2 linked regions of the Caenorhabditis elegans genome follow. The protein of the gene in region 1 interacts with the protein of each later gene in a biochemical or structural test. Each region holds a gene or a part of one and is shown on either strand. Other genes may lie near its edges.

Region 1 (4,991 bases):
CTAGTTCTCGCAGCACTCTCCATTTCTCGCGTATACTCTAATGTAAGATTACTGTAGAGAATAAAGTGCAGCGAGACTATTCCGAATAGACACTTATCCAATGAAACTCATAGAAGTACAACACTTATAGTATAAGTGCTGAAGAGTAGAGATTGAAATCAAATTTATTTACAGATGCTGTTTCTCGTCTGTTCTGTTATTCTCACTGCTGCCGTATTGGTGAACTGCGGAAAATTTAAGGCTAAAAAAGGCGAGTTTACTGAAGTAATTGGGAGGAACTTACCTTTCATTCTCATTTTATTTTAAATACTCTGTGTTTTCAGTCGAAGAGGAGATTGGTGGGTCGATGATGTTCGCACCGAGAAGACCACCGCCAGGCGTGGAGGCTCGCCCCACAATTCCAACATCAATGGTTTACATGGAGAACGACGACGCCAACTCTACCTGGCGTCAACGAGAGGAAATCTTCGAATAATTTGTTTGTTGTTTTTGCGTAATGAATTATTTTAGTGTTGAAATAATTTTATTTAATTTTTAGAGTTTTCGTGTCCAAATTTATCTGGATTCATTAAATTCGAAAAAAAAAAACAAAACAATGAACAATAAACAGAAAGAAACAATAACACAACTGCATGAAAAGCAATAAAACAACAAAAAAGAAAAGAAAAAACAAAACTGGGCAATGATAAGGGTGGGGATGGCACAACATCGATCTTAAAATCGAAACGAAACCATTGCAACAGTTTAAAATATTACAAAACAACAGAACATAAGTGGGTGGGATGAGATTTATGGTGAGAAAGTTCGCATGAGCCTCAGGTTACCTTCCTCGATTCCATTCTTCTCCAACTCTAGACCATCGTGTTCGGAAGCAGTACTGAAGCAATCCGTCTTGAATGATTCATGTCCCGAAGATTGGAGTCCATAAATCGGATGAGTTGAACGGAGATGGGCAAGCGTCTCGATCATCTTTTTGCCGGATGAGAACCTGAAATTCGAATTTCAAAATATTATTGTGACAATAGTGATAACCTTGACAAGCGATGCCTTTCTTTCGTAACTCTCGAGTGCAACTTTTTGAGCCAAACTTGGAATGAGTTTGCATGGTCATAGCTCCCTTCTTTCGTTTGTCGTCTTCCAGACACAGCATCACAGCAAATAGTCAGCATGCATTGAACGACGTAGTTTCCGAATTGATGGAACATCATGATATCGAGAGCATCTTTTCCAGTGCCCCTGAAAAACAATTTAATTTTTATGTGACTGAAACGAAATTTTTACGGGTGTGGCATGTATCCGTCGAAAATCTCGTCCATCATTTCAGCAAGAAGTTCCATTGGTGCATGTAGGAATGCTTTCTCTACAACATGAGACGCAAACTTTTCCTGGGATAACGAAAGAAGATTGCGCCTGAAATATTAATGATTAAAAATCAAATATATATTAAACAACACTCACATGAGGCATTTCTCTATGATACATTCCCGATATACGGCCAGATCATCATTGGATACAATATGCTGTATTATGTAATTGGCATACTCGTTCGTAGCTAATTCTTGGCACCGATTAGTCACAGAAGTCATGAGGCGTTGGAGTGCTCGTTCACGAAGATGTTGAGCAGCGGAAGTTAAATCAACGTTTATTGAATCAGCAGTGAGTTTTTCGATTATAGTTTGCACAACACGGCACCCATACTTATCAAAACAAATCTGACGGAGGTGCTCTGGGGTTGCAACAAAATCCACGATAAACTCCCAATTCTTCAGTGGGATGACAGCTACGACTTTCTGAATGACGTGATTGGCATTTTGATCAACACAGATTGCGATAAGACGAGCATCACGAGGTAGAGCTTGAACAAGTTTACACGCAAGGGATAAATCCATGTTCTGGAGACTGGATTGGATAACACGACACGCAAATTTGTCCAAGCACATATCTGTCATTTGGGAACTGATGAAGTTCTTCAACTTTTCTTGTCGCTTTATGTTGTCGTCATCATAAGTTGTCAATGACATTCCAATGATTTCTTGTACGAAATAATTTCCAAAGATGTTCGTGCTCAATTTCTGAAAAGAAAAGTCGTGTGTGCTCGCAGAAACTAAAACTTACAAGGAAATCATCTTTTCTCCCAATAACTTGTTCAAACAATTGGAACTTCTGATAAGATGTCAGGCTGCCCTTCACGGCCTTTTCGAGGAACTGGCACCCAGTTTTGTCAACGGCAAACTTCATCAAATCGCCACTATCCAAAACTTCAGAGAGCGACAATCTTGAACGCATTTCACCATTGGAATCCAAGGACCAGGTTGGCAGCACATTGTTTGATCTTGTGAATGATCTAGAGTTCCTCGATAGAGCGGGTCTATAAATAAAACAGAATAAACACTTGAGGATAGTGATAAATTAATTCGAACCTCGAATATTTCAAATGGTCATTTTTCGAAGAACTATTGTTACGATCAATCTCGGTAGAGCAATATCGGACATTTTGTGAAAAATCGTCCGGCTCGAGACGCGAGGAATCCGTATCAGACTGAATGAATGATGAAGTTCGGCTACGCGAGACCGGCATGAACACATTGGGCTGCAAATCAGTAATGAAAACAACCAAAAATTAGCTACTCTAACTTACAAAGCTCTGAAAACTCCGGAGGCTCATCAAATCAGTTAGCGGGGTTGGTGGCCGCGATGTAACAATGTGATTCTGTTGATGGCGAGCATAATTCATCCCATCGTTCATATTGAGCATTGAGAAATACGGGTTGAGAGAGTTGAAGTTCCACATTGATGTCTCATGCTGCGCCATCGGCGAATGTGCGGGAGTATGATGATTTCCAACCTCTGTAGATGTGGGCTTTTGCGGAGTCTGTAAAATTTAGGCCATTTATCAATATTAATGGCTGAAAACCAACTTTTCTGAACTGATTTGTATAGCGCATTTTTGATTGGTCCATGTCGATTAGTTGATAATTTTATTCGAATGGTTACTTATAGAAAAACTATCAATTCACAGAAAATAGAGAATAGGAATAAGAAAATAATATTTCAAATTGAATTTGAGAATGACGAAAGTGTGTCACATACTCTGGTGTTTGCGTACTTTGTCATTGTCTACCGTATCCAAATTGAAATTTTCAAACAATGCGATTTGCTTATTTATCTCTCAAAATTTTAGCATCTCCATGGAGAGATATTCTCTGTTAAAACAGATAAAAAATTGTGGAATATTCCAGACCGTACCGTATAAAATTGATAAAACATTTAAACCTCCCGAAAAGCTATAACCAGTTGGCTCTCGCGAGACGCGAGGGACGATCGTCGTCGACGATCGTATGATTGGGATTGGTTTTTTTAAAATTAATTCATAATCACATAATTCAATTTCCAGAAGACTAAGTCCCCATAAACCTCTATAGAGTTGCATTAAATCTCCATATTCCGGATGATGTTTTGATATTTAGAATTTCAGAAAATATTGCATTGTATTTGGATGTTGTAGGAAGCTTAAGCTTCCTACCGTTTAACCATCTAAAACGCAAATTACGATTGTTTTTCAAACATATTGTTTATTTATAAACTAGAAAACAAAAAAATTCCAAAAAAAGTTACATTCGAATATTTGGGGAATTAACGGGATTAGAAGAAATTTGAGAATCACAATCATTATTCAGGATAACCTGTCAGGGGTATCGGGAAATATTGGTAAGTTTTAGATGGTTTTGGGGAAGAATGGGCGTTTTTGGGAGTTAATATACAAAATAGAAAGGAGAAGCAATAAATTAGATAAAAATAAGAAGAATTATGAGACATTCAAGAAGTAGAAGAAGCAATTGTCTATTGTGATCCAGAAAGGGCGGAGCAAACACTTCGAACATCCCAAATAATAATCACACGATTATGGCCACTGGTAACTGGCCCTCATTCCGAGGGGACAAACTTTTAGGGTGGCAAGGTATTTTTGGGGACAAAGTATCCAAAGTGACATGGTATCCAGTCGACAAAGTGCCATTTGTCTCTGACCGGGCGTATCTTCGGTGACAAACTTTTTCAACTAGTTTTTTTATATATATTTCTTGACCATTTTTTGTTCATATTTTACTGGAATAAGTTTTTAAATGCAATTTTCCATGGATTTTCGGCCTTGACTACTCACAATTGAATGCATGAACAATGATCTTTTGGGAAAATGCTGTAAAACGTCCAACTAACTTGGAATATCGTAAGATTCTTCGAGATGATGACGTCGGATCCTTCGGAGCTGAAGGATCAGAACATCAGGAAGAGCCTCGTGATCCTTTGGAGCTGAAGGATCAGACCATCAGGAGGTACCCTTACGATCCTTCTTATCTGAAGGATCAGAACATCAGAAGGTACCCATGTGATCCTTCGGAGCTGAAGGATCAGAACATCAGGAAGAGCCTCGTGATCCTTTGGAGCTGAAGGATCAGACCATCAGGAGGTACCCTTACGATCCTTCTTTTCTGAAGGATCAGAACATCAGAAGGTACCTATGTGATCCCTCGGAGCTGAAGGATCAGACCATCAGGAAGAGCCTCACGATATTCCAAGTTAGTTGGACCTTTTACAGCTTTTCCCAAAAGACCATCGTTCATACATTTAATTGTGAGGGAATTATAACCGATAATCGATTGAAAATTGCATTAAAAAACTTATTCCAGAAAAATGTGAACAAAAATTAGTTGAAAAATACATATAAAAATCTAGTTGAAAAAAAGGTTGTCACCAAAGATATGCCCCCCAAGATACACCCCAGTTTGTCTACTGGATACTTTGTCTCCTTGGATACTATGCCCCCAAAGAACCTTTGCCACCAAAAAGTTTGTCATCTCGGAATGAAGGCCGTTTGTTCCATAGTTTGTAGATATTTATGTTGCTCGAGAACTTCCGGAAAACAGGGAAAAACGTTTCATCTGCAAAGAAAGGCTCAGAAATTTCAGAATTTGATTTTAATTTTGAGTACGCCA
Region 2 (7,357 bases), 1.1 Mb from region 1:
ATCTTTAATTTGAAAAAAATTTACACATATACATATTAACGAAAAATCCAAGGAAGTCTGTCATCAAATCTTCTTTCCGTATTAAAAAAAACAAGCGTCGTTTTGAATAAGAATACACATTTTTTGGTTTGGGAAAAGAAGATGATGCAGATGAAATTATGGAGTGAGTAGAGTCAGGCGGTCGAAGATTGGCTCATTTCAAGAAATAAGTGCCTCCAATGGACAGTCCGTTTCAAGAAAAAAGAGAGACCTCGCTTTACGATTATATGGAGAAAGTGTATCGATTCAGGGAAATTCAGGAAAAATTTTTTTGTTTCTTCTATCCTTTTATCGCTACATTCAAGTGAGACGAATTAATTTTAGTCTTTCTAAAATCAAAATCTTCCACTTGTATGAAGACTATGGCGAGGATTTGAACGACCAAGAGACTTTCCATATTAGAAATTTAGAACATTATCAATGAACATGTCCTTGCTGAATCGAAAGTTGTCGGACGATAAGATGTGATTAACAACAATATTTCCGCAATTCTTTCATTTATAAACAGAACTGTAGAGGAAATTGGGATAAACTGCTAATGAAATCCTAGTTGAATGACGAAAAAAAAAGAAAAGACAATAAAAGTGGTAGTGTATATGAAGTGATGAAAAAAGAAAGGAAAGATGGAATACATTGAAACAAACCTAGATATGATGGGACCCGGGACAATATTGCGATCAAAAACAACTGGGAATTATGGGAGAAAAAAGGAAGAACATTAAATATAGGGAAGGGAACATCGACAGTGCCATAAATTGCAATTGGAAGTATAGATGCACGAAAATTCTGAATTTCATTGTGAATTCATTTAATTTTTCATGTTACCTATGCTTCCAACGTCTGCAAAAGGAATGAAAAGATAGAAAAATGACGAACGAAGAGGTGACAACAATGAAATAATACGGGAAGAATTGGAAAATAATTTCGGTTAAAATAAGTGTAGAACTGTGAAGGCTAAGCACCAACCATCGGCCTAGTCGTATAAGTCCCGTGGATACAAAGATATTCTCGACAGGCAAATGGATGGTTTGTAAGATAAAAATTGATGGAGCCGTATACGATATGCACAAATAGGGTTCATATATAGCGAAAATTGATGTAAGAAGTAGAAGAAGCTATTGGAAAAATCCCGATTTCTCAATATGTAGATGTTTCGTCTGAAATATATGTATGTTAATTAGCCAATTGTGGATTTACAAACCTAACGAAAGATCTTGGGTTACTGTAGATTCAATACTTTTGTCGGCGATCTGAAGCTTTACAGATAATTATGGCAAGCCAATAGACTACTTGCCTCTTTTTCTTTTTCATTCAGAACATCGCTAAACTGCCTTTCATGAATACGTGGTAGTTGCTCACTCGATTCACGAACACTAGCTATTAACTTCATTGGATCAATTCTGTATTGTCTAGATCCCAACGAAGACGTATCATTTTCTGCTGACTTCTCTTCATCACCGTACTCATTTGAGTATTTCGTCTTGTGTTCTAGGCTTATTTTGCCATAATCTTTCTCTACTCGAGCACGTGGTTCCAATATGGTTTTTGTGACTCCGTTGTCGCCAACTTTTCTGAAGCTATCATATGAACGAGATTGATGTGTGGATGCATGATCAACAACGCTGTATGCACCATCAGAATCGATGTATCGGGCGGATTGACCATCTCTGTAAAATGTTTTGATTATATGAATGCTTAAATATGTATTTTTTGCAAATTAAAAATGCTCATTTATGATGTAAACGAAAAGCTATAAACTCTTTTAATTTCAACTTTAAAAACGTACTTCTCGGTAAAACAGCTAACTGTTCTTGGTCTTCTTCCCGATTCATTGATATTTGCATTGGATAGGAATCTCTGAACAAAGTCTCCATCCATTAAATCATTTCCGAAGCCACTTGCAGAAACTGTAGTATCAGAATCATTGTGCGGTGACTCATGCATATAAAGCTTTTCATGATCCAAATCAACATCATTCGATTTCAACTTCAAGTGGTGTGTCATTTGCAATTGTACTTGTTCCAAAGACGGGGACCTCTTAGCTGGCCCAGAATTTCCCACATGAAAGTCGTATTCATTGGAATTGCGAACGTCTCTGTGCACATTAATTGTTCTACTTGAGTGAATATCTCCACGACTTCCTGTCTTCCAGCGTTGTTGATCATCCTTCTGAAGTCTTTGATGCTGTCGTGGGTACTGTCTTTCATATCCTTCTGTAATAATTATGATTTTATCAATTTTATTATTGTCATAGTCTTACGGTCGTGCATGCTTTCAACATTCTGATCGTCTCCATTCACTGATGTTCTTCTTGAACCAATATGTGAACGAAGATCATCTTCTCGAACTTGTTCGTAAACACGTTGACGAGGTGTTGTCGATGGATAATAAGAACCTGTGCTCGATGATGGTCGATTTCCCATGTTTCTAGACGGTTTTCTGATTTCTTGTGTTGATCGTAGAGATGGTGATGATTCACGGTGATTTCTGTGTTGTTCGGCTGAAAGTGATTGTTGCAATGATGCTTTGAACGAATAAACCAACCTTCATTTACCGGAAACAATCCGTGGACATAAGGAAAACCATCAAATACTACAGGATCCGCAAATGGCAGAGCAGACACTGAAACACAAAATTTCAATAATGATAATTTTTACGAAGACATAGAATATTGATGGAAGCTAAACGCTTTATTGTGGTTGAATTTACGTAATAAGATCATCACAACCGGGTGAAAAGACAAATATTACATAGTGGCGGTAGGAGGAACAAGAGAAAATTTTGTGGCTTAAAACTATCCAGAATTTGGCAAATTTTTCATGAAGAGCTCATTTTACACGATGAATATATAACATGACGAGAGATCTTCTAAAGGTGACCGAAATTTCCGTTCAAAAAGTTAAAGTTCTGTGGAACTATGTAAGAAAATGGATAAATATTTGAAGAATAACGCGCACCAAAGGATCCATCGACGATGATCGGTGGAGGGAACATGATATGTGTGCCAGGATGTAATCCAGCTGCACCTGAAAGCTTGTATGATTGTCGAAACAAAATATATAATAGCAACCTTTCAAAAATGTCTGAGCTTGCTGATGTTGCTGCAAATAGACGTATTTCAGCATGTGATGATGAGGAGTTAACATTGGTGGTGCAAAATGTGGCGTTGGAAATTGCATAATAGGGACGGTTGCTGCAAAATTTCCTGATTTTAAAGCACTCTGTAGTAATATTATTATCATTGTTATTTAAATAAATTTGATATGCTTTTCTTAAATAATTTTATAGTATAATTTGTGTGTACTATTTACAATCATAAAAGGCAAATTGCTCACATGAATTTTCGGAAAACGAAGATACTCTTGTGTGAGACCTTGATGGACCCCCAGACGACTCAGAAAATTGTTTTCCTTTGCTCATGTAACTGTGTTTGGAACGAGAAGAAGCTATTGATGAGCTTCTATGACGACGACCGTTTGAACCATCAGAAAGTTCACCCCGACACTGAAAAAATCTCGTTTTGAACTAAAATGTAAAATAAACATGACTAACCGGCATATTGAAATTTTTCAAAAAGTTTGCCGGAAGAGAATGATGCCAGATGGAGTTGTCATAATCATTTGGTTGTGGAGCAATGAAATCAAATTTTTTCTGAAAATTACTTGTTCTTAATCTCATTTCAGAGAGACGTGCGCTTACCGAGAGAACTTTTTGATAAGCGGTGTACAGCTTCTTTATGTTAAACTCCTTCGAACGAAGACTGGCACAGTTCAACGGAACCTCTCCTGACAGTAGATCCGCGGGCTCATACACGGAAGGAGTCATTTTAAGAATAATCCCACTCTCATCAATAATCATGTGTATGTTCCGATCAGAAACTCTGCTCGGTTCTGCCATATCAGTATTTTTAATGTTGAAACACATCGAAATAGGAAGGAGGTCCTGTAAATTCTCGAGTGTATATCTTTCTATGTATTCATACTCCTCACCATTATGTATCTCCTGGCTTTAAGAACATTGTCAATGTTCCCAACAACTTTAATTTCATAAATATTTCCACGAGTTTCGTTTCGATTATTGTAACATGGATAACTAATTATTGTCGTTGTCTCCCTCTCGATTACAGGCTGAAATTTAATGCTGATGTAATAGAAATATCCTTTAGCCAAACCATGAGTTGCGCCGTCGATGAACTTCCAAGAACTTGATCCACGTAGTATGTTGACAATGTGAAATGGAGAGTGAAATTCTGAAAAACAAAATGTTCAGGATATATATTCAGTTTATCTGCTAACATTCTCCGGTGCCGGAGACTCGCGGAAAAGTATTTCATTCAGTCGTTTTGCAGCTTCGATCAGTTCATGCTGATTCTTTTCGCGGGCGGTGATACGAAGATAGGTTGTGACGATTCCATTCTGAAGAAAATTAATACTGTTGGTTACTAGCTAAATCGGCTTGCCTTTTCTGGAGCATCGACGAAAGACATTTCCACATTTTGAATGGGGTTCTGTCTGACATGTGCCTGAAGTTCGTGAAGTGGCATCTTCATTTTTGACAGTGCCATAAAAACTGTAAAATGACAGTTTCTCTGTAAAATACGAACATTATTCATATAATCAGAGTTGAACGTACTCTCATCAACATTCGTGCTCTATCCACGTCACCAAAGTATCCAGTGATGGTTACTTGCTGTGCAAATGGATCAGGTGTAGTTCCTCCGACAGAACGATCGGGAAGTTGAATGAGGGTGTTAGTTTCTGCCATGATTGACGCGACATTCTCGTGATCCCCGTTGTCACTGAAATGAATACAATTTCTTTCGCTTAACTGGTGAACTAACCTGGTCATTAGTGAATAGTATTGGGATTCAAACTCCATATTGAGGGTTACTCTAGTTGGGTTAATCTCGATCTAAATGTTGAATCAGTTAATCAGTGGAATGTGAAGCAGTCAAACCATTGGTATATTTGACGGCAGAGGCAATCCTTGCGCTTTTAGCTGATGAATATGAGCCTCTCGTTTCGTGTTGTATGACACCTGTCGTCTCTGATTAGCATCCTCCGCCATCTGAATTGTTTGACTGTAACATAACAAGTTGTTGCCTTTACCTGTGCAGATTGCTGGAAATCATGATAGAAGTTTTCAGGATTCACGATAATATCTTTGAGGGCAGACGATACAAATAGTTTTCTAAAATCGGAGTATTAGAATGTTGTAAGCGTAAACCATATTTAATACCTTGCAGATGCCGCATTTTCTGCCATTTGGAGGCGTGTGTCAGCATCGTATTCAACGGCAGAGCGAACGAATGGATTGTAGGAGTGCGCTTCATCATGATCTTTTTCATGGCTTTGCTCCCCCATCTGCAAAATTGAAATCTTGTTTCTAACACTAAAGCGTTTGCTCAGTAAATTTTTTGAGTTTCAAATATTTTATAAATGATCGTCAGTGCCTCCGTCGATGTTACTGGTATTAGTATCATCGTGGAACGATTAATTACAGATAATATTAGCATTATAAGGATGAAATTGCACGAAAACAAATGAGAAAACACACTGAAAATCACGCTGAACGTGTGTTCGAGGAATTGGGCGCCAAACAATCTCCTTGAAGAACGTTGTAAGACCTGCTCGATTTCGGTAATGCGCCTTTCTGAAAACTTTCTTGGTTACTGTACTTTTTAAATTTGATTAGCTGCCTAATATTAGGGGCGGCTTCATTTAACAGACTGAACATTTGAATTACATTTTAATAAATTGTTATACTATTTTGTTATATCTGTGTTGCTTTCTACTTTTTCAAAATTAACTTCCCCTTTTTTAGAAACACCCATTGGCTTTGCATCATTTTTTATTTTGCGAGCTACTGTAAACAAGTCCGCAAACACCGCACACAGAGAATTACGTCTTAGTCGACGCGCAAACCGCTTTAACTTATTTTCGCTTTTTCCGTTTTTAATACAACTTTTGTTAGTTTCCAGGCTTTGAATATGGATGAAGAGGGTTCTCGTTCGTCTATCACTGATGAAGAAGATTATGTAGACGATAATGATAATGGCGAAGACTATGAAGGTATGCTTATATATATATTTTTTCAAATTTCTTCAACGTATGGTTTTCCAGCGACAATTGAAGAGGAGGAGCTTCTAGATGAAGGGGACTACGAAGATGAATTGAAAGGTGAATTTCTTTAATTTGCTTCTGACTCATTTTTCTTTTCAGACTTGGAAGATGAGGGAGAAATGTCAATTGAAGAACTTCAACGTAAGTATGGCTATCGTCCAGCGGAAAATTCATCTGCAAACAATGAAGATACGGAAATCGCCGAAGAAGTAATTTACAAATGATAAAGTGAAATTATAAAATGTTTATATTTTTCAGAATGTAGGGGAATCAAGTTCGGCTGCTGCAGAACCGCACGACTCAACAATTTTCGATATGGGTAATTCAATGAGTGGCTTCGACGACGATGATGACGACTATGCACCACCGCCAGACCCATGGAAAAGAAGTATTCGTGTGGATCCAGTACTTTTCCAAGCCGACGTCCCGCTTTTTAATGAAGCAACGGTTGAAGGTAAGCAATGATCTGATTTTTGATTCTATATCGATTTATTTCTTCAGAATCTGCTCGAGAAGATGACACTATTTTATGGACAATTGATCAGACGAATCAGCCAAGTGATGAAGTTATTGACAACTATCTCAAAGATGTAGTAGGCTTACGAAAAGCCCACGACCAACCATGTCCACCAGCTGGCACCGAATCACGAGACGACGAGGACGCTCTATGTGCTTTGTATAGAAGCAACTTTGACACAGAAAAGGCGAAAGAATCATTCCCTTTTCCTCATATAAATGCCCCATTCCGCACTGTTCGCTCAGATGCATTGGGATTCGATGAGAGTGAAGCAAAGGCATTTGAAGAGTCACTCGAGCTGTATGGAAAAGATTTTTCGCTGATAAGGAGACTACGGGTTAGTTGTATATTTTGCAAATTCAAAAAGTTTTCATAATGTTTTATTTTAGCTACCCTACCGGAAAGTTGGAGAACTTATCGAATACTACTATCAATGGAAATTAACCCCTGGGTGAGAGAACGACGATTTCAAATTTTAATAATTTATTTCAGCTATCGAGTTTGGCGGGACGCTCATCCACAGCATGCGCCAGTAGTTCAGCCTCATTTATCTGCTGCATGGCATCAGCAAGTAGCTCAACTGGAAGATCAAAATGGTCAAACTGGATTTGTTGAAGCCTCCTTCTCCGAGCCATCTACTTCAGAGGAGCCATCAACTCTTACGAACTAAAACTAGGGA

What was found. The genes of interacting proteins can lie anywhere in the genome.
Region 2: the proteins of fbf-1 (region 1) and gld-3 form a complex in vitro, tested with the Caenorhabditis elegans proteins (one study listed by BioGRID).

Annotation. Positions count from the first base shown.
Region 1 is NC_003280.10:6,077,761-6,082,751, forward strand, and holds fbf-1 (Fem-3 mRNA-binding factor 1), read right to left. Parts: upstream 3,084-4,991; 5' UTR 2,961-3,083; coding exon 2,919-2,960; intron 2,873-2,918; coding exon 2,639-2,872; intron 2,591-2,638; coding exon 2,421-2,590; intron 2,369-2,420; coding exon 2,116-2,368; intron 2,073-2,115; coding exon 1,459-2,072; intron 1,411-1,458; coding exon 1,282-1,410; intron 1,237-1,281; coding exon 1,033-1,236; intron 989-1,032; coding exon 790-988; 3' UTR 503-789; downstream 1-502. Other genes in the region: H12I13.6 (uncharacterized protein), read left to right, coding at 175-250, 324-475. UniProt on the Caenorhabditis elegans protein: RNA-binding protein that binds to the consensus sequence 5'-UGUGCCAUA-3' in mRNA 3'-UTRs. Involved in the control of stem cells and sex determination in the C.elegans hermaphrodite germline.
Region 2 is NC_003280.10:7,130,688-7,138,044, reverse strand, and holds gld-3 (Defective in germ line development protein 3), read right to left. Parts: upstream 5,403-7,357; coding exon 5,278-5,402; intron 5,230-5,277; coding exon 5,148-5,229; intron 5,107-5,147; coding exon 4,996-5,106; intron 4,951-4,995; coding exon 4,880-4,950; intron 4,838-4,879; coding exon 4,672-4,837; intron 4,628-4,671; coding exon 4,499-4,627; intron 4,455-4,498; coding exon 4,335-4,454; intron 4,289-4,334; coding exon 4,211-4,288; intron 4,167-4,210; coding exon 4,029-4,166; intron 3,982-4,028; coding exon 3,739-3,981; intron 3,691-3,738; coding exon 3,592-3,690; intron 3,544-3,591; coding exon 3,375-3,543; intron 3,233-3,374; coding exon 3,110-3,232; intron 3,066-3,109; coding exon 2,997-3,065; coding exon of another isoform or gene 2,908-2,996; exon of another isoform or gene 2,718-2,907; intron 2,662-2,717; coding exon 2,584-2,661; intron 2,540-2,583; coding exon 2,300-2,539; intron 2,253-2,299; coding exon 1,826-2,252; intron 1,707-1,825; coding exon 1,334-1,706; intron 1,290-1,333; coding exon 1,241-1,289; and 4 more. Other genes in the region: T07F8.4 (ELM2 domain-containing protein), read left to right, coding at 6,029-6,110, 6,162-6,218, 6,261-6,370, 6,420-6,615, 6,663-7,015, 7,068-7,129, 7,171-7,348. UniProt on the Caenorhabditis elegans protein: Required maternally for germline survival and embryogenesis. Forms a complex with gls-1 which promotes the oogenic cell fate by freeing the translational repressor fbf to repress sperm promoting factors.